Arabidopsis thaliana: one gene and its partners. The gene in region 1 interacts genetically with each later gene. Each region holds a gene or a part of one and is shown in the gene's direction. Other genes may lie near its edges.

Evidence for each region. A genetic interaction does not mean that the proteins touch.
Region 2: of FWA (region 1) and ELF3, changing one suppresses a phenotype caused by changing the other (phenotypic suppression), as found in Arabidopsis thaliana (one study listed by BioGRID).
Region 3: of FWA (region 1) and EFS, changing one suppresses a phenotype caused by changing the other (phenotypic suppression), as found in Arabidopsis thaliana (one study listed by BioGRID).

Annotation. Positions count from the first base shown.
Region 1 is NC_003075.7:13,036,505-13,042,964, forward strand, and holds FWA (FLOWERING WAGENINGEN), read left to right. Parts: upstream 1-1,855; 5' UTR 1,856-1,913; intron 1,914-2,015; 5' UTR 2,016-2,124; intron 2,125-2,788; 5' UTR 2,789-2,807; coding exon 2,808-2,977; intron 2,978-3,098; coding exon 3,099-3,216; intron 3,217-3,412; coding exon 3,413-3,997; intron 3,998-4,084; coding exon 4,085-4,186; intron 4,187-4,280; coding exon 4,281-4,484; intron 4,485-4,655; coding exon 4,656-4,827; intron 4,828-4,940; coding exon 4,941-5,308; intron 5,309-5,396; coding exon 5,397-5,738; 3' UTR 5,739-5,960; downstream 5,961-6,460. Other genes in the region: homolog of DNA mismatch repair protein MSH3, read right to left, coding at 6,196-6,460.
Region 2 is NC_003071.7:11,057,042-11,063,824, forward strand, and holds ELF3 (hydroxyproline-rich glycoprotein family protein), read left to right. Parts: upstream 1-1,902; 5' UTR 1,903-2,417; coding exon 2,418-2,636; intron 2,637-2,836; exon of another isoform or gene 2,837-2,998; coding exon 2,999-3,795; intron 3,796-4,975; coding exon 4,976-5,027; intron 5,028-5,117; coding exon 5,118-6,137; 3' UTR 6,138-6,283; downstream 6,284-6,783. Other genes in the region: ALPHA-VPE (alpha-vacuolar processing enzyme), read right to left, coding at 6,455-6,637. UniProt on the Arabidopsis thaliana protein: May be a transcription factor part of a circadian clock input pathway. Acts within a 'zeitnehmer' feedback loop and is involved in its own circadian regulation. Has no role in regulating circadian clock function in the dark.
Region 3 is NC_003070.9:29,046,455-29,051,158, reverse strand, and holds the start of EFS (histone-lysine N-methyltransferase), read left to right. Parts: upstream 1-1,704; 5' UTR 1,705-1,980; intron 1,981-2,337; 5' UTR 2,338-2,348; coding exon 2,349-4,704. UniProt on the Arabidopsis thaliana protein: Histone methyltransferase involved in di and tri-methylation of 'Lys-36' of histone H3 (H3K36me2 and H3K36me3). Binds to H3 already mono- or di-methylated on 'Lys-4'(H3K4me1 or H3K4me2), but not to H3K4me3.

The DNA of each region.
Region 1 (6,460 bases):
TTTATTAACTATAAAATAGCTCCAAATCTTTGACCAAAAAACATACATATAGTATAACCGGTAATAACCGACTGTACCGGTCAACTAGCTCTAAGCGTCACCGACCTCGTGGATCAAACGACACCGACACGTGCTGATGTCTTAGTAGATCTCGTAATAGAAGTGGGACCATAGTTACGTGGCACCATATGAATCGTTCGATCAGATGCAAATCTCCTACCACAAAGAGATAGATAGATAGTTAGTTGTAACTAGGATAAGATAAACATTTTTTTTCATCGAGTTATTGCAATGATTTTTCTCTAAAGTGTAAAATTCTACAAAGATACAATAAAACATCTTAGGCCAATGAATTGAATTATTTGTTATACATATACAGTATACAATTATATGGAGATAAATTTTAGTATCTCTACTCAAATTAGACAATTTGTCTACAATATTGTTATGTGTCATAAACTCGTCCACAACACACAACATTCATCCATTAGGTCCCAATGATCAAAAGTATAGTAGTAAAAAGTAAATCATTGTGGCGACACTTTTTTTCGTCTCAGCCATTTCGAGCTTACTCTGCACATGCTATACATCAACCGCTTCCTAAAACCTACAATTATAAGGTATTAATTTCATAGCTCACAACAAAAGGAACAAAATACATCTTTAAATTCTACAAAAATAAATCTAGAGTTACAACTTCAACCGAGAAAGTCTATCAATGCATATTTCCATTTAAAGTGTGACCTGTCATTGTTAAAAGTTTATTATTGTTGAATAAATTTAGTTAACAATTTCGTTTATCTGTTTTTAATATTATGGGAAGGAGTCATTTTTCACTAAGCATATAGATTTTCTAATGAGTATCCCTATATATATATATATATATTAAACTTCTTTTTTCGGTCAATACAATTTTATAATCTTTCATTTTTTCTATCATTTCATATCATTGTAACTATAAATTTTCGTAAATAGACCTTTAGTGTTAATACAATAGATTTTTATTAATTTTATATCGGATTTTGTTTAAAAAAGAAAAACCATAGGATGGATGATGATTGGTACTTATAAGATTGTAATTGGGTATTTTTGGATTGTTACCACCATTACAAAGCTATTAACAGAGATTGAAGATATCACACAATGAGAGCGCCACAGCTTCAGCAACGTCCCATGCAGCTGATGTGCCTTCGCCTTTCTCTTCCTCATCTGCGCTTATAAATAAGGCAAAGCAACTAGAAAAGATTAAAACCAAAACCAAAACAAAAAACTAGTTAAGACCCTGATTTTGTTTCATAGGTACATACACTTTTCAACATTGATTTTTGTTGTTAAAAATAAAATCCATGTGAAGGTTCTCATCATATACCGAAAGAATGGGAAATTTGAAAATTCCATACTTTTTTAAAAAGACAATTTGTTTTATCACTTTAGTTTTTTTATATATTCAGCGTCTACCAAATCTACACTTTTTTTTCTTTCTCGATTTAGTTAATCTTCGTTCTTGTGTCATGTAATAGATTACTATTTCAAAACATAGATATTTAGTTATCTAAATAAAACTAGGCCATCCATGGATGGTTTCAATTTTTTTTTTCATATGAAAGAAAAGTTAAATTTCATTTCACAATAACCATTGATTACTAAATTTAGTAAAGAATCAATTGGGTTTAGTGTTTACTTGTTTAAGGTTTTTTTTTTTTCTTTTGTTATGGTTCTATACTAATATCAAAGAGTTATGGGCCGAAGCCCATACATCTTTCCGTCGAGAATCTCATATATTCTTTATCGAAGCCCATACATCTTTCCGTCGAGAATCTCATATATACCTTATCCCATTCAACATTCATACGAGCGCCGCTCTAGGGTTTTTGCTTTTCGCCATTGGTCCAAGTGCTATTTGGTTGTTTAAGGTTGCTTTTAGCACACAACTTTAATATTATTTTTATGTTTTTCTTCTTACGATTTATCGATTTGTGGGATACTGACAATCAGATTATTGTTGTTTTTTCCAGCCAAATATCAGATCTTGCGCCGCTCTTTATCCCATTCAACATTCATACGAGCACCGCTTTACGGTTTTTGCTTTTCGACATTGGTCGAAGTGCTATTTGGTTGTTTAAGGTTGCTTTTAGCACACAACTTTAATATTATTTTTATGTTTTCTTCTTACGATTTATCGATTTGTAGGATACTGACAATCAGATTTTTGTTGTTTTTTTCAGCCAAAAATCAGATTTTTTTACATTTTGTTTAGAGAATGATTTTGGTTCCCGATTTGTCTGTTTTTCGCTTATGTGTAAAGTACTTTGAAAAATATTGTGTTAACTCTACAATGGGTATCCCAAATTTTTGAGTTCTTTTGTCTTGTTCGTTGTCGAGACACTAGAAATGTTAATTTAATTCTCTTCTTCCAAAAAGAACCATTTACTGGTTCATTCTCTACTTGAATTTTATTCTGGTTGTATTTCTTTTCCAGTATAAAGCAGATTGTTTTTTGTTATTTTTCAGTTTAGATTGGCTTTGTCTCTTTTGAGTTGTTGCAATTGTCAAACTTTGGAATGAAATAGTAAATAATCTTAGGTTGGTAGTAAATCTTAACATTGTGTTTTTGGGGCATAATTTATCGATAAAATCTTCAGCATTAAAACCAAAAAGAAAAAACTTTTTAAGTCTTTTTTGTTTGGTGGTTAATATAAAGTTTATACGTGTATTAATTTGATCACACTCACTATATGTCCAGGGAGCTAAACCTCTATATCGAGTACTAATAGTATGCAATGTCCAGGTTATTGCATTGAGGGAAAATGAATGGACAAGGTGATTTGGATGCGGTTGGAAACATTCCAAAACCAGGTGAAGCTGAAGGCGATGAGATTGATATGATTAATGATATGTCTGGTGTTAATGATCAAGATGGTGGAAGGATGAGAAGAACCCATAGGCGCACTGCTTATCAAACTCAAGAACTTGAAAAGTTTGTTCACTTTCTTCTTCATTTCATCATCATGCAACATTTCCTATTATTTTTTTTATTTTTTTATTTTGAGTTTGGAATGTTTCTCTTTACTTTGCTCTTTACTTTAAAATGAGTGTAGTTTCTACATGGAAAATCCTCATCCCACTGAAGAACAGAGGTACGAGCTTGGACAAAGGCTTAATATGGGTGTCAATCAAGTCAAGAATTGGTTCCAGAATAAAAGAAATCTCGAGAAGGTACCAAAAAATACAGAAGTGTATACATGCATGTGGCTGTGTCTTTTCTTATTCTTTGCACGTACCGTATTATGGACCATGTTTCTGCCCTATGTTAAAAACAAATACTGTATATAGTTTACCACCTCTCTCTCTCATCCTCAAAATCTGCCTTGATTATGGTATAATTATTGAGTGTGGTTTTTTGGGTAAGCAGATCAATAATGACCACCTTGAGAATGTAACTCTTAGAGAAGAGCATGACAGATTGCTAGCAACTCAGGATCAGCTTAGAAGCGCAATGCTACGTAGTTTATGCAACATTTGTGGTAAGGCAACTAATTGTGGAGACACTGAATATGAGGTGCAAAAACTTATGGCTGAGAATGCTAACTTGGAGCGGGAGATAGACCAGTTCAATTCCAGATACCTTTCTCATCCCAAACAAAGGATGGTCAGTACATCCGAACAGGCGCCTTCTTCTTCCTCTAATCCAGGAATAAATGCAACACCAGTACTTGATTTTAGTGGTGGAACTAGGACGTCTGAGAAGGAGACATCAATTTTTCTGAATCTTGCCATTACGGCTTTGAGAGAGTTGATTACATTGGGAGAAGTGGACTGTCCATTTTGGATGATAGATCCAATCGTTAGATCCAAAGGAGTATCAAAGATCTATGAGAAGTATAGAAGTTCTTTCAACAATGTCACAAAACCTCCCGGGCAAATTGTGGAGGCTTCAAGAGCTAAAGGTTTAGTTCCCATGACTTGCGTGACTCTGGTCAAGACTCTTATGGACACAGTAATAACCTTTAAACCACCACCCATTTTTTAGTGAAATGTTGTTACATGAAATGTTAACAAGTTTTTTTTTTTTTTTTTTAAACAGGGCAAATGGGTCAACGTGTTTGCACCTATAGTCCCTGTGGCATCAACCCATAAAGTGCTATCTACCGGTTCTGGTGGAACCAAAAGTGGCTCACTCCAACAGGTATAATATATATAGTTTTCTGAGTCGTCTATATTGGTTGATAATCCAAGAGAAGTAGAAACATTTCAAATTTGTGATCATATAATTTTGGCAGATTCAAGCAGAATTTCAAGTAATTTCTCCGCTGGTACCAAAGAGAAAAGTAACGTTTATTAGATACTGCAAAGAGATCAGACAGGGCTTATGGGTGGTCGTCGACGTTACTCCTACTCAAAATCCGACTTTGCTGCCCTATGGTTGTTCTAAGAGGCTACCCTCAGGCCTTATCATAGACGACCTGTCCAATGGGTACTCCCAGGTTACTTCTGAATCCTGTTCTTTGAACAATATATGTTGGTTCACTTGTTATTACTCGCAATCATAATTAATGATCTATCAGAGCATCTTGTACTGTGGAGACATAAATAAATGGTTAATGGTTATTATTATATTCACCACATGTATAACACATAGAGATTTGATTTCACAGGTTACATGGATTGAACAAGCGGAATATAATGAGAGTCACATCCACCAACTCTACCAGCCTTTGATTGGCTATGGGATCGGGCTAGGTGCAAAGAGATGGCTCGCGACGCTGCAGAGACACTGCGAAAGCCTCTCGACCCTTTCATCTACCAACTTGACTGAAATTAGTCCAGGTGAAAGCTATTTAAATTATAGAATAAATCTCATTACAACTACTTTTTAGGTCATTTTCGGTTCTCCACTAAATTTGGACAGGCCTTGATTGTGATATATGTTTTCGATATAGGATTGTCTGCAAAAGGTGCAACTGAAATAGTGAAGCTAGCACAGCGAATGACTCTCAACTACTACAGAGGTATTACGAGTCCTTCGGTGGACAAGTGGCAGAAAATTCAGGTGGAGAATGTGGCACAAAACATGAGTTTCATGATCCGAAAGAACGTGAATGAGCCTGGTGAGCTAACTGGGATTGTGCTGAGTGCATCCACTTCTGTTTGGCTCCCAGTGAACCAGCATACACTCTTTGCTTTCATTAGCCACCTGAGTTTCAGACACGAGTGGGATATCTTGACCAATGATACTACCATGGAAGAAACAATCCGGATTCAAAAAGCAAAACGCCATGGAAACATCATCTCTCTTCTGAAAATCGTTGTGAGTTTCAAAACATTTATTTTTGGTTTAATGAGTGTCGTTTTGTCTATGTTTCCATTGATTTTCGTGAGTTTTGCAATGCAAACAGAATAATGGTATGCTGGTTCTGCAAGAGATTTGGAATGATGCATCAGGTGCAATGGTGGTGTATGCACCAGTGGAAACCAATTCTATTGAGCTGGTCAAGAGAGGTGAAAATTCAGATTCTGTGAAGTTTCTTCCTTCGGGATTTTCGATAGTGCCAGATGGAGTAAATGGGTCATATCATAGAGGCAATACTGGTGGAGGATGTCTACTGACATTTGGACTTCAGATCTTGGTGGGCATCAATCCAACTGCTGCACTCATTCAAGGTACTGTCAAAAGTGTCGAGACACTCATGGCTCATACTATTGTCAAGATCAAATCCGCGTTAGATTTACAGACGTAACCATCAGCAGCTCCAGTTTCCGTTGTTCCGCAAGAAATTCGACATTGGCTTGTGCCCTAGTTTGCTTTTCCAACCAAGACTCTTCTGGATTAACTTTTTTATGCGTTTGTTGATCTGTTTGCTGGATATTTCTTGCTTCCTTTCTTCTTTCCTTTTCTGAAACTCTCAAATTGTTACAAACCAGAATTAATAGAGAGTTAGAACAATATATTTCGTATTCAACATTGATGGAGATCATGCTTCACTATATCAGGTGAAAAATGCATTCCAGAATTCTAATAACTACTAGAAATCAAGCTGAAAAGAAACAGGGTTGCGGGTGGAGAAAAGATGTACTGCAACACCGGATTAGAATCCATCTCTCTAATTCTCTTTTCTTGTTATACTAATACACATAAGTTAGTACGCAACTAACAGATGATCAAGACCTTGCAGTTGCTATAATGTTAAGATTAAATCAAAATGAACAAGTTGGTTTTAGTCTGATTTTGCCAGCAATCTTCCAAGCATGCTTTAAAAACTCGAATGCTTTCCAAGGGTCCTCTTCAGAGAGAGCAAATTTCAGGTCTGCAAACAAGTCACCTAGAGCCGAAATAGATTCTTCTGCGCCTCTCGGTTCTTCATGTCCTTCTGGTTCTCCCATGCGTGTATTTCTCTCTCTTGCACGTACCTCAGCTTCCAATTTTGCAGCCATTGAAATGGCTCGACGTATACATGATGGA
Region 2 (6,783 bases), on another chromosome or scaffold:
TCAAAATAGTTACTAAAATAATTTTTTTCTAAAAGCCATGAATATAAACACAACAACTAATCAATCTCCACAATATATATTATATATTAACAAAAAGTGTATTGGTGATAAAAAGTACTTGATGATACACTAAACAAAAAGGATAAATGGGAGAATTTTTTATTTTGAAAGATGAAACATTTTAGGTTATATATTTCATGACCCTTATAAATAAAATTCCTGGCTCCACCACTGGATATCTCTACATATTTCCAACATCAATATCCATTGATATTTGATAATCTTTACCAAAAATTCGCAATCTCCTTTAGAGTGAAAGCGAGTATAACCGTATGACCAAACTATTTTGAGTACCATTGGTAATTCCTTACCTTAAGCTTCCAGAGGTATTAGTGCTATATATTCATAGTGCCACCGAGTATTTTGAACTCCGAAATGATTTCTCACTATCCGACCACTCCCAATTATATAACATGCTTAGAATTATTCGTAAGATGGATCGTAGTTGCATTTTACGACACCATACAGGACAAGTCCATGATAGTTTGAGTTGGTGGATTTTGGAACCCCTGCAAATTTATTTTATACATAACAAAGGCCCCAATCCATTCCTTAGCATCACAACTTGGGACTTCTATCTTTTGAAGGATACATTCACTTGTTGGTTTTGGTAAATATGATTGTTTCTTTACTTCCGAATAAGCAATATATAAAAGTATCTAAAAACGGAAGTAACTTTTGATGATCCTAAAGGTTTTGTAATTGATACATGTCCAAAAACCTCTTAATATTCTTTCTCACAAACTGTTGATGGAGTTAACAAAGGGAGACAAGGTAATTGGGACAATATCAACGTTAGATACAGGACAAGTGAAAAATGTGGGGTTGATGTCTTCAGCTGCAGCATATCACCGTTGGTATATATTGTCAATTATTAGTCCTATGGATTTGAAACGTGTTTTAGTAAATAAGAGTGTCCAAGTGGGACATTTCCAATAACGTATCACAGCTCCTAGAGCTTTTGCTATGTTTCTCTAGGCCTGGGCCGCCTAGCCCACATTCCAAGCAAGGAAATGAATGGAGTTGGGCATCAAAATTTTGGAAGCATTTTTAAGACAAATTATCTTTTAAGTTTCCTTTTTTAAACATAAACTATATTTTAGGCTTTTTTAAGATAAATATTATTTGGATTTTCTTTCACTCATATTTTTGGATTTCAACTTAACAAAACATAGGGCGTGTCTATTTGACTCCACCTACCCACCCTACTGGAGTTCGATCCCACTAAATCGCGTTATCCCGCATAGTAGGGATTGACTATGGATCGGACTTTGTCGATCCAAAGATATCTAAGAAATTCAGAAAAGATTGTATAAAATTCAGAAACGATTTTACGAAATTCATGAAAAATGAGAAATACATGTTTTTTTTAATTTACGTCGGCATTAAAAACGTTGGACCGGCTCTGTGTTTCACCAAAGAAATTGTTTCAGTTTATGCATGATCTTCAACTTCCATATTCTTGTTTTCAATTCTGGAAATCCCTAACAGATCGGAGCTCTCCTCATTCAGTGAGTTGGAAGATTGCATGATTATATAATTACTCTTCACATCCACATATATTACATTATATTCCCCTATAATTTCATACAACCCTAGAAAAGAATCTTCAAGTAATCTAATCGTGTCGATGACTCCACTCATTTGCTAGAAAAGAAAAAACAAACAGACTTCATTTAGCTGAAAACAATCTTTTATTCAACATTACAAAGCACTGATCAAAGAACCTCTAACATGGTAATATATCTATGACATTTTACGTATCCTAAAAGAAAACAAAAAGTGATGTATTGGATGATGTTTTTTTTTTTTACTTTCTAGTTTCTTATTACAACGACAAAAAGAGTCCACGTCGTCACGCACTTTTCCGGTGGTGAAAAAAATGTCCAAATGGATTAAATCTATAATATCTCCAGAGAGATCCTCTCCTTCTATCTTTTTGGGCTCCACTTTTCCTATCTCTTTTTGCCCCTTTCCTCTCTCTGTTCACAAGTCATCTTCTTCCTTCCTCTGAATCTTGTTCCTTTTTGCTCTCTCTACTTGATTCACCCACTCTGTTTCTCGATTAGTACGTTGAAAACTCACTTTGGTTTTGTTTGATTCCTCTTTAGTCTGTTTTTCGATTTCGTTTTCTCTGATTGGTTTGGTGGTGAGATCTCTATCGTAGTTTGTCCTTTGGGTTAAGATATTTCATTTGATTGGTGGGTTTGTTTTATTGAAGCTTATTGTTGTGAAAGTTGGAGTCTTTCTCAGTTTTTAGGTTGAATTATTAAGAGAAAGGGAAGATTTTTGGTGTGAAGTTAGGTTATTTGGGGTTTGAGAAGTTTGCAAGTGAAAAAGGTTGTGAATTGTGAGTGATGAAGAGAGGGAAAGATGAGGAGAAGATATTGGAACCTATGTTTCCTCGGCTTCATGTGAATGATGCAGATAAAGGAGGGCCTAGAGCTCCTCCTAGAAACAAGATGGCTCTTTATGAGCAGCTTAGTATTCCTTCTCAGAGGTTTGGTGATCATGGAACGATGAATTCTCGTAGTAACAACACAAGCACTTTGGTTCATCCTGGACCATCTAGTCAGGTATTGTTTTGATTTTGATCATTGTATAGGCTCTTGATGTTATTAGTTGTATGAGTTTGGATGTTATATAGCCTGAAAGAGAAAGTAGGACATTGGTTGATCTATGTTTCAATTGTTATCAGATCATAGTATCTTCTTTTTGCTTATGGATTGAGCTTTTAGGATTGAATTCTCCTGTATATATGAGAGTCTTGTAGACACAAGTTTATCTAAGTGTGGTTTATTTCTTAAAACTAACATTCTTGTTGTGCCTGATTCTTTTTATGTTCTGAAGTTCGATGAAAGTTTCTTGTGATTGCCCTGAGCATTCAGACTATTGCAAGGACATGAGAAATAATCCTTTTTTACCCTCTTCAATGCAGCCTTGTGGTGTGGAAAGAAACTTATCTGTCCAGCATCTTGATTCTTCAGCCGCAAACCAAGCAACTGAGAAGTTTGTCTCCCAAATGTCCTTCATGGAAAATGTGAGATCTTCGGCACAGCATGATCAGAGGAAAATGGTGAGAGAGGAAGAAGATTTTGCAGTTCCAGTATATATTAACTCAAGAAGATCTCAGTCTCATGGCAGAACCAAGAGTGGTATTGAGAAGGAAAAACACACCCCAATGGTGGCACCTAGCTCTCATCACTCCATTCGATTTCAAGAAGTGAATCAGACAGGCTCAAAGCAAAACGTATGTTTGGCTACTTGTTCAAAACCTGAAGTTAGGGATCAGGTCAAGGCGAATGCAAGGTCAGGTGGCTTTGTAATCTCTTTAGATGTATCAGTCACAGAGGAGATTGATCTCGAAAAATCAGCATCAAGTCATGATAGAGTAAATGATTATAATGCTTCCTTGAGACAAGAGTCTAGAAATCGGTTATACCGAGATGGTGGCAAAACTCGTCTGAAGGACACTGATAATGGAGCTGAATCTCACTTGGCAACGGAAAATCATTCACAAGAGGGTCATGGCAGTCCTGAAGACATTGATAATGATCGTGAATACAGCAAAAGCAGAGCATGCGCCTCTCTGCAGCAGATAAATGAAGAGGCAAGTGATGACGTTTCTGATGATTCGATGGTGGATTCTATATCCAGCATAGATGTCTCTCCCGATGATGTTGTGGGTATATTAGGTCAAAAACGTTTCTGGAGAGCAAGGAAAGCCATTGCCAAGTAAGTTCACTAGAAATTTACAGTTTGGTTATTTATTCTCCGCTCTTTCTATTTATCTCCTTCTTTGATACCAACATTTTTTGCTTGAAAGAAGTTAATATTTAAGCATTGTTCCGTAGTCTTACTGAAGCTTTTTCCTCTGTTGTTTTTTGCTATTTTCATTGAGGACTGTGGTAGGGCATATTTCACTATCACCAAATTTCAAATTTCTAGAACACTCTCCTTCATATTTTTTTTCATGATTAATGCTGCAATTGATTGCTGATATACATATATGACTATAACTCAGTTTCATATTCTGTCTCATTTTGGGAGAAAGAGATTTCAGGTTTATGCTTGAGAAGTGATGGTTCTATAGTTGAGAGGCCCCTGATTCATCTAAAATGGTCCTATTATGTGTTTAGTTGTAGAGTCCTCGGTAGAATATTAACGCGTTTAACACGTTGGATCATGTTATAGCAGGGAGGGACATTCTCTGTTGACCTATATTGTGCAAGGTGCCCGCCGATGGCTTTATTACTATACCTTCTTTGCATCTGGTTGTTGGAACATGTCCCTGTCTCGGTTTGGTATTGCTTTTATTCTGCACTGTCGTCTTGGGCATTTTCCCTACTTGTCATTCAAGGGGTTGAACCAGGTAGGGAAATGTTTTTCCGAGGACCCCAGGATCTAAATTTTAGTTAACCATACGTAAAGTTAGTTTTGAGTCTTATGACGATGCAGAATTATAGTTTCTTCTTACTACTGCTTAAGAGGATCCTTAGTGTGGTTGTGAACTACAGAGTTTTTATGATTGTAGGCTTCATGACTTAACTTTTAAGGTTCAATGTACTCTAATCCATATGGTAAGGTATCGGATTCACGACCAATGCAAATAATAAGATTTTTATTTCTTGCTTCTTGTTAAATATCTGACATCTCATTTTGCAGAGGATAAGCTGCGCTGTAAGCTAGATTTCAATAAGCCCGTCCTTTGCATTGTTATCTATGCTTTAATATGTCATTGGACCCATTGATTTGGTTTTCTTCTATCTTTTTTGATTGGCTATGTATTCTTGTTTCTTTTTTCCTATCTCATTTCGATCGTATTGTTCCATTAGCTGTTCAACCTAAACTATGTCTCTCTTTGTTGAACTTTTGATGGATAATCTTCTTAATGTGACTCTGTTTCTCATTACAGTCAACAAAGAGTATTTGCTGTTCAACTATTTGAGTTGCACAGACTGATTAAGGTAAAGTCATTCAGAAACTTCTCATATGTTTCCATGAGTATTTGTTTCTTCTCGAGCTGAAACAAACCTCTTCAACTGTGTAATAATCAGGTTCAAAAACTTATTGCTGCATCACCGGATCTCTTGCTCGATGAGATCAGTTTTCTTGGAAAAGTTTCTGCTAAAAGCTATCCAGTGAAGAAGCTCCTTCCATCAGAATTTCTGGTAAAGCCTCCTCTACCACATGTTGTCGTCAAACAAAGGGGTGACTCGGAGAAGACTGACCAACATAAAATGGAAAGCTCAGCTGAGAACGTAGTTGGGAGGTTGTCAAATCAAGGTCATCATCAACAATCCAACTACATGCCTTTTGCAAACAACCCACCGGCTTCACCGGCTCCAAATGGATATTGCTTTCCTCCTCAGCCTCCTCCTTCAGGAAATCATCAGCAATGGTTGATCCCTGTAATGTCTCCCTCGGAAGGACTGATATACAAGCCTCACCCAGGTATGGCACACACGGGGCATTATGGAGGATATTATGGTCATTATATGCCTACACCAATGGTAATGCCTCAATATCACCCCGGCATGGGATTCCCACCTCCTGGTAATGGCTACTTCCCTCCATATGGAATGATGCCCACCATAATGAACCCATATTGTTCAAGCCAACAACAACAACAACAACAACCCAATGAGCAAATGAACCAGTTTGGACATCCTGGAAATCTTCAGAACACCCAACAACAACAACAGAGATCTGATAATGAACCTGCTCCACAGCAACAGCAACAGCCAACAAAGTCTTATCCGCGAGCAAGAAAGAGCAGGCAAGGGAGCACAGGAAGCAGTCCAAGTGGGCCACAGGGAATCTCTGGTAGCAAGTCCTTTCGGCCATTCGCAGCCGTTGATGAGGACAGCAACATCAACAATGCACCTGAGCAAACGATGACAACAACCACAACGACGACAAGAACAACTGTTACTCAGACAACAAGAGATGGGGGAGGAGTGACGAGAGTGATAAAGGTGGTACCTCACAACGCAAAGCTCGCGAGTGAGAATGCTGCCAGAATTTTCCAGTCAATACAAGAAGAACGTAAACGCTATGACTCCTCTAAGCCTTAATCCTCTCTATGCGTATTGTACTTGATATGTATTTTACAAAATTAGAAAAATTGTGATAGATGTTATCCTCAATATATGTACCATGTAAACGTATTATGGTGTAAGCCTCATTTATATGTGTTAATTTGTCTTAAAGCCTTGAAATCACTTGAACAACAAAGATTATTTGAAACAACTACTTACAATCACTGTTTCTTTTGTCTGTGACATCAAGAACTTAAGCATCCCATATTTACAACATCTTGTCTACATAGGAAGGAGTATAATTGGTAGTAAGATATTAATGGACATCGATTAATATAGGGCGGAGACGAAGATCAAGCACTGAATCCACGGTCAAGAGAGCTCCAAGGACTGGTAGGGATGGTGGGACAAGCCTGCATTGCTGCCTCCTCCATTTGCCTCATCTGAATCCCTGCGTTGCACATGTTTGCAATCGACCTCATGTGCTTTATTCCGTACTGAGACAACGATCCACAGTGCCTCTCGAAAGCTCTCACCTAACAACCACATAAAGGAGAATAAGAAAGTGATCATCACAAGAAGCTTAATCATCTAATGAGGACTGAAAGTGATTTTTTTCCGACATATCATATCGTATCTAACGTCCTGAGTCTTGCATCCTCTGGCCAATACCATTGTTTAA
Region 3 (4,704 bases), on another chromosome or scaffold:
TGAAAATATCATGTGTCATTCTTTGTTTTGTCCGTTAATTAATGAAACATCAAGTAACGAGGAGTTGTTACATAAGTTATTCTAAGAAATTCGAAGAGACAACAATTTTATTTTGCTTGCCTTGCTTATGTATTTGCCTTAGAATTGTTGCTTTTTGCATTAATATTGTTCTTGAGGAAACTGCGTCGGAATAGGTCAATACCGAGAGACGGCATTACAGTAAGACTACATCAACTCCAAACTACAAGTCTGTTTTGTTGATCATACAAAAGCGAAACAATTAGTTTTAGTGTTCGTATGGTTTGTTCTCATATTTCCAAGATGCATCCAAAAGTGCGTTGAGAGAAGTGAGTGGGACATGGTTATGTGTACAAGTAGATTATAACTTGATTAGTTCAATTCCCGCATCTCATATTTTTGTTCTCAACTCCATTGTTTTTCTCTCTTTTTTTAGCAATGGAATGATGATCCATAGCTTATTGTCATATATCAAAGCATTCCTTGGTTTCCATATTATCAAAACTATGAATTAGGCACAGATTTTATGCATCATGTGTAGCTAGATGATAGCATAAGTTTTTCTCTTAGCTCTTAATTCTCCCTTGGATTATGATATCACCTCCATGGCTCCATATAGACAGACAGTAATGCAAACATCAAAATATAGTAATTATCAACAACTACAACACTATAAGCCTATATAACACCCTTGCAGTTCCACGCTTCCCAGGGATCATGGCGATACTCTTCTGCTCTCTCTTTTATTGTGATGCTTCTTTGATCTCTTATAAAGTCGACATAGTCTCCAACCTCTAAGTTCCGCCGCAACTGCTCATTCATCTTCAATATGGACGGTGTCCGACGACATATATGATATGGATGAGAAGATGAAGTGGATGAGGTGGACAACAAGAAGAAATACTGCGACTTCGTGTATGAATATCCTCCCCTTAGCTTCCACGTTTTTGGCTTCTAATGACAGGGATCATAGCAAGGGTTTGGTCACATTCAAACCGTGACTCAATATCGTTAACAAGACTCTGATTCGGATAAATGCTTGGCTCATCATCATCGCACTTATTTGCATCTTCAACGAGGAGAACACAAGTCAGTTAACCATCGTTGTCTGGAGCTATGAAACTTATTCCCGCTTGCTTGGTCGCGAAAGTCTCCGCCGATGTTATGATTGCGAATGAGTGGGGCTGTGTGAGTCTTATTGTAAAATAATAATACAACTAGCTAGGTTTGGTAGACTAAAGTTATTACATGAACTTTTATTCTGATATACACATACAATATATATTTCTTTTTTCTAATGATAAACCATTATGGAAGAATACTAGCGAGAATCTTATTAGAACGAACGACTAATCAAGTAATCATAGACTAAAGAAGCTAATTAAACGACTAATCATGTCTTTATGGACCACCTTTGGGACCATTTTGATTGAACACAACTCCCCAATAGATCTGAATATCTTGGAAATAAATTGGCAATGTATTTTTAGTAAAAGCTTGTGTGAATTTTCTCTACAAAAAAGTTCTAACTTTTATTGTTTTGACATATGTTTGGGTAAGATTTAAAAAACCTATGACTTTATCGAAAAATATAAATATTTTTTTGTTTGTCAATTAAATTTTCATCGTAATCATTGAGATTAAAATAAAATAAAAAAACTAAGACCCACACAAGTCCAAATCAAACAAATTAGCAACAACAAAAAAATATAAGTTGGGAATAGCAAAATAGTATCGTTTGGGGATTTTACAATTTATTTTACTGAAAAAGAGAAAAAAAAAAAATCGGTATCTCTGAAAAAACTGACCGCCTCGCGTTGTCTCTTCCCTACTTCCTCCGATTCCTTCTCCTCTCTCTATATCTGATATCGTAATCTTCTCCGCCTCTCTAGGGTTTTCTCCGTTACTCGTGCTCCAGTTTTACGTTCGTTGGCATTCGCTCAATCGCTTCTGATTCATGAGGTTAGGGTTTCGTTATTTTCAGGAGGTGACAAGATTTTATTTTATTTTATTTAGTCTCTGTTGCGGCGTGTTTAAAATCAGAAGAGATCGGAGGGTTTTTGTCATCAATGTTGATGATTGAGCCATCCATTGTCTTGTGTTAGGTCTTTGAGTTGACCTTCTTAAGTTTTTTTTTTTTTTTTTTTTGGGGTCTCTGTTTGGTTGATTTTGTAGATCATGTTAATACGGGGCTGGGTTCTATTGAGAATCTGTTAAAGGTCTTTGAACCATTGCATAGTTTGATTTACTAAATAGCTTACTGATTTTTCATTAAAAATCCCTTTTTTTGAGAATGTTATTTGTTTGGCTTTGAATCAGGTAGCATTACGATGGACTGTAAGGAAAACGGTGTTGGTGACGCTTCTGGGTGCAATATTGATGCTAACTCTCTGGCCTCAAATCTTGCGATGAATACCAATGAAGATTTCTATGAGAAATTGAGTTCTCGTGGGCAAAATTTAGATTCAGTCAGTAGTTTGGAGATTCCTCAGACTGCTTCATCTGTAAACCATACGATTGAAGGCCAAAGGAAGTGCTTTACAGAGATTGAGCAGATGGGATACGGGAACAGTAATAGTCAAGAAGATGCTGGAAACACTGATGATGATCTATATGTTTGTTACAATGCTGATGACACTCAGGAGCAGGGAGTGGTTTCAGGTGAGCTTGAACAAAGTCAAGAATTAATTTGTGATACTGATTTACTGGTAAATTGCAACAAGCTGGATGATGGAAAGGAAAGTCAGGACACAAATGTGTCCCTTGTATCCATTTTTTCTGGGAGTATGCAAGAGAAAGAAGCTCCTCAGGCTAAAGAAGATGAAGGTTATGGTGGCACAACATTGCCTATAGGGGGCAGTGGAATAGATACGGAATCAACTTTTGTGAATGATGCACCAGAACAATTCGAGTCTTTGGAAACCACAAAGCACATAAAACCTGATGAAGTTGAAAGTGATGGTATTAGTTATAGGTTTGATGATGGAGGTAAGGAAGGAAGAAATGGACCATCGAGTGATCTAGATACTGGTTCTTCTGATGATATATCTCTCAGTCAGAGTTTTTCGTTTCCAGATTCGTTATTGGACTCTAGTGTATTTGGCTGTAGCGCCACAGAAAGTTATCTGGAGGATGCAATTGATATTGAAGGCAATGGGACTATTGTTGTATCCCCTTCATTAGCTATCACAGAAATGTTAAATAATGATGATGGTGGCCTATGTTCACATGATCTTAACAAGATCACAGTCACAGAGACGATCAATCCAGATTTGAAGTTGGTACGTGAGGATAGGCTTGACACTGATCTTTCCGTGATGAATGAAAAGATGCTAAAAAACCATGTTGGGGATTCATCAAGTGAAAGTGCCGTGGCCGCTTTGAGTATGAATAATGGTATGGCTGCTGATCTGAGAGCTGAAAATTTCAGTCAGAGTTCACCCATAGACGAAAAAACTTTAGATATGGAAGCCAATTCCCCTATTACTGACTCTTCTTTGATATGGAATTTTCCATTGAACTTTGGAAGTGGAGGAATCGAAGTCTGTAATCCTGAAAATGCAGTTGAGCCACTCAGAATAGTAGATGACAATGGCAGAATAGGTGGTGAAGTTGCTTCTGCATCAGGGAGTGATTTTTGTGAAGCTGGCATGTCTTCTTCCCGAAGGAAGGCCCGAGACGGGAAACAATGTAAAGTGGTGCAGACAAAAACGAGTGCTCGCCATCTGAGAAAATCCTCTAGAAAGAAACAATCAGAAAGAGACATTGAGTCAATTTTCAAGTGCTCAAAGCAGAAGAGGAGCTCTCTTTTAAAAACAAGTCGTTCATCTGAGTGGGGATTACCAAGCAAGACCACTGAAATCTTCTTACAGAGCAATAATATTCCCTATGATGGACCTCCGCATCATGAACCACAGAGATCTCAGGGAAATCTTAATAATGGAGAGCATAATAGAAGTTCTCATAACGGGAATGTAGAAGGATCTAACAGAAACATCCAAGCATCAAGTGGCTCTTGCCTTCGTTTGAAAGTTAAATTTGGTAAATCAGGTGGCCAAAATCCTCTGAACATTACAGTCTCTAAGGTCAGTGGTAACTCCTTACCTGGTAATGGTATTGTAAAAGCAGGAACATGTTTAGAATTGCCAGGATCAGCACATTTTGGTGAGGATAAAATGCAAACTGTGGAAACTAAAGAGGACTTGGTAGAGAAAAGCAACCCTGTGGAGAAAGTTTCATATCTTCAGTCATCTGATTCTATGAGGGATAAGAAATATAACCAAGACGCTGGGGGTTTATGTAGGAAGGTGGGTGGTGATGTTTTAGATGATGACCCACACCTTTCCTCTATTAGAATGGTTGAGGAGTGCGAGAGGGCCACTGGAACGCAGTCCCTGGACGCTGAAACTTCACCAGATTCTGAAGTTATCAACTCTGTGCCTGATTCCATTGTCAATATTGAACATAAAGAGGGTCTGCATCATGGTTTTTTTAGCACTCCAGAAGATGTGGTCAAGAAGAACAGAGTATTAGAAAAAGAAGATGAATTGCGTGCTTCAAAATCTCCTTCAGAAAATGGTTCACATCTAATTCCCAATGCAAAAAAAGCTAAACATCCGAAGTCTAAAAGTAATGGAACAAAGAAAGGTAAATCCAAGTTTTCCGAATCTGCCAAAGACGGGAGAA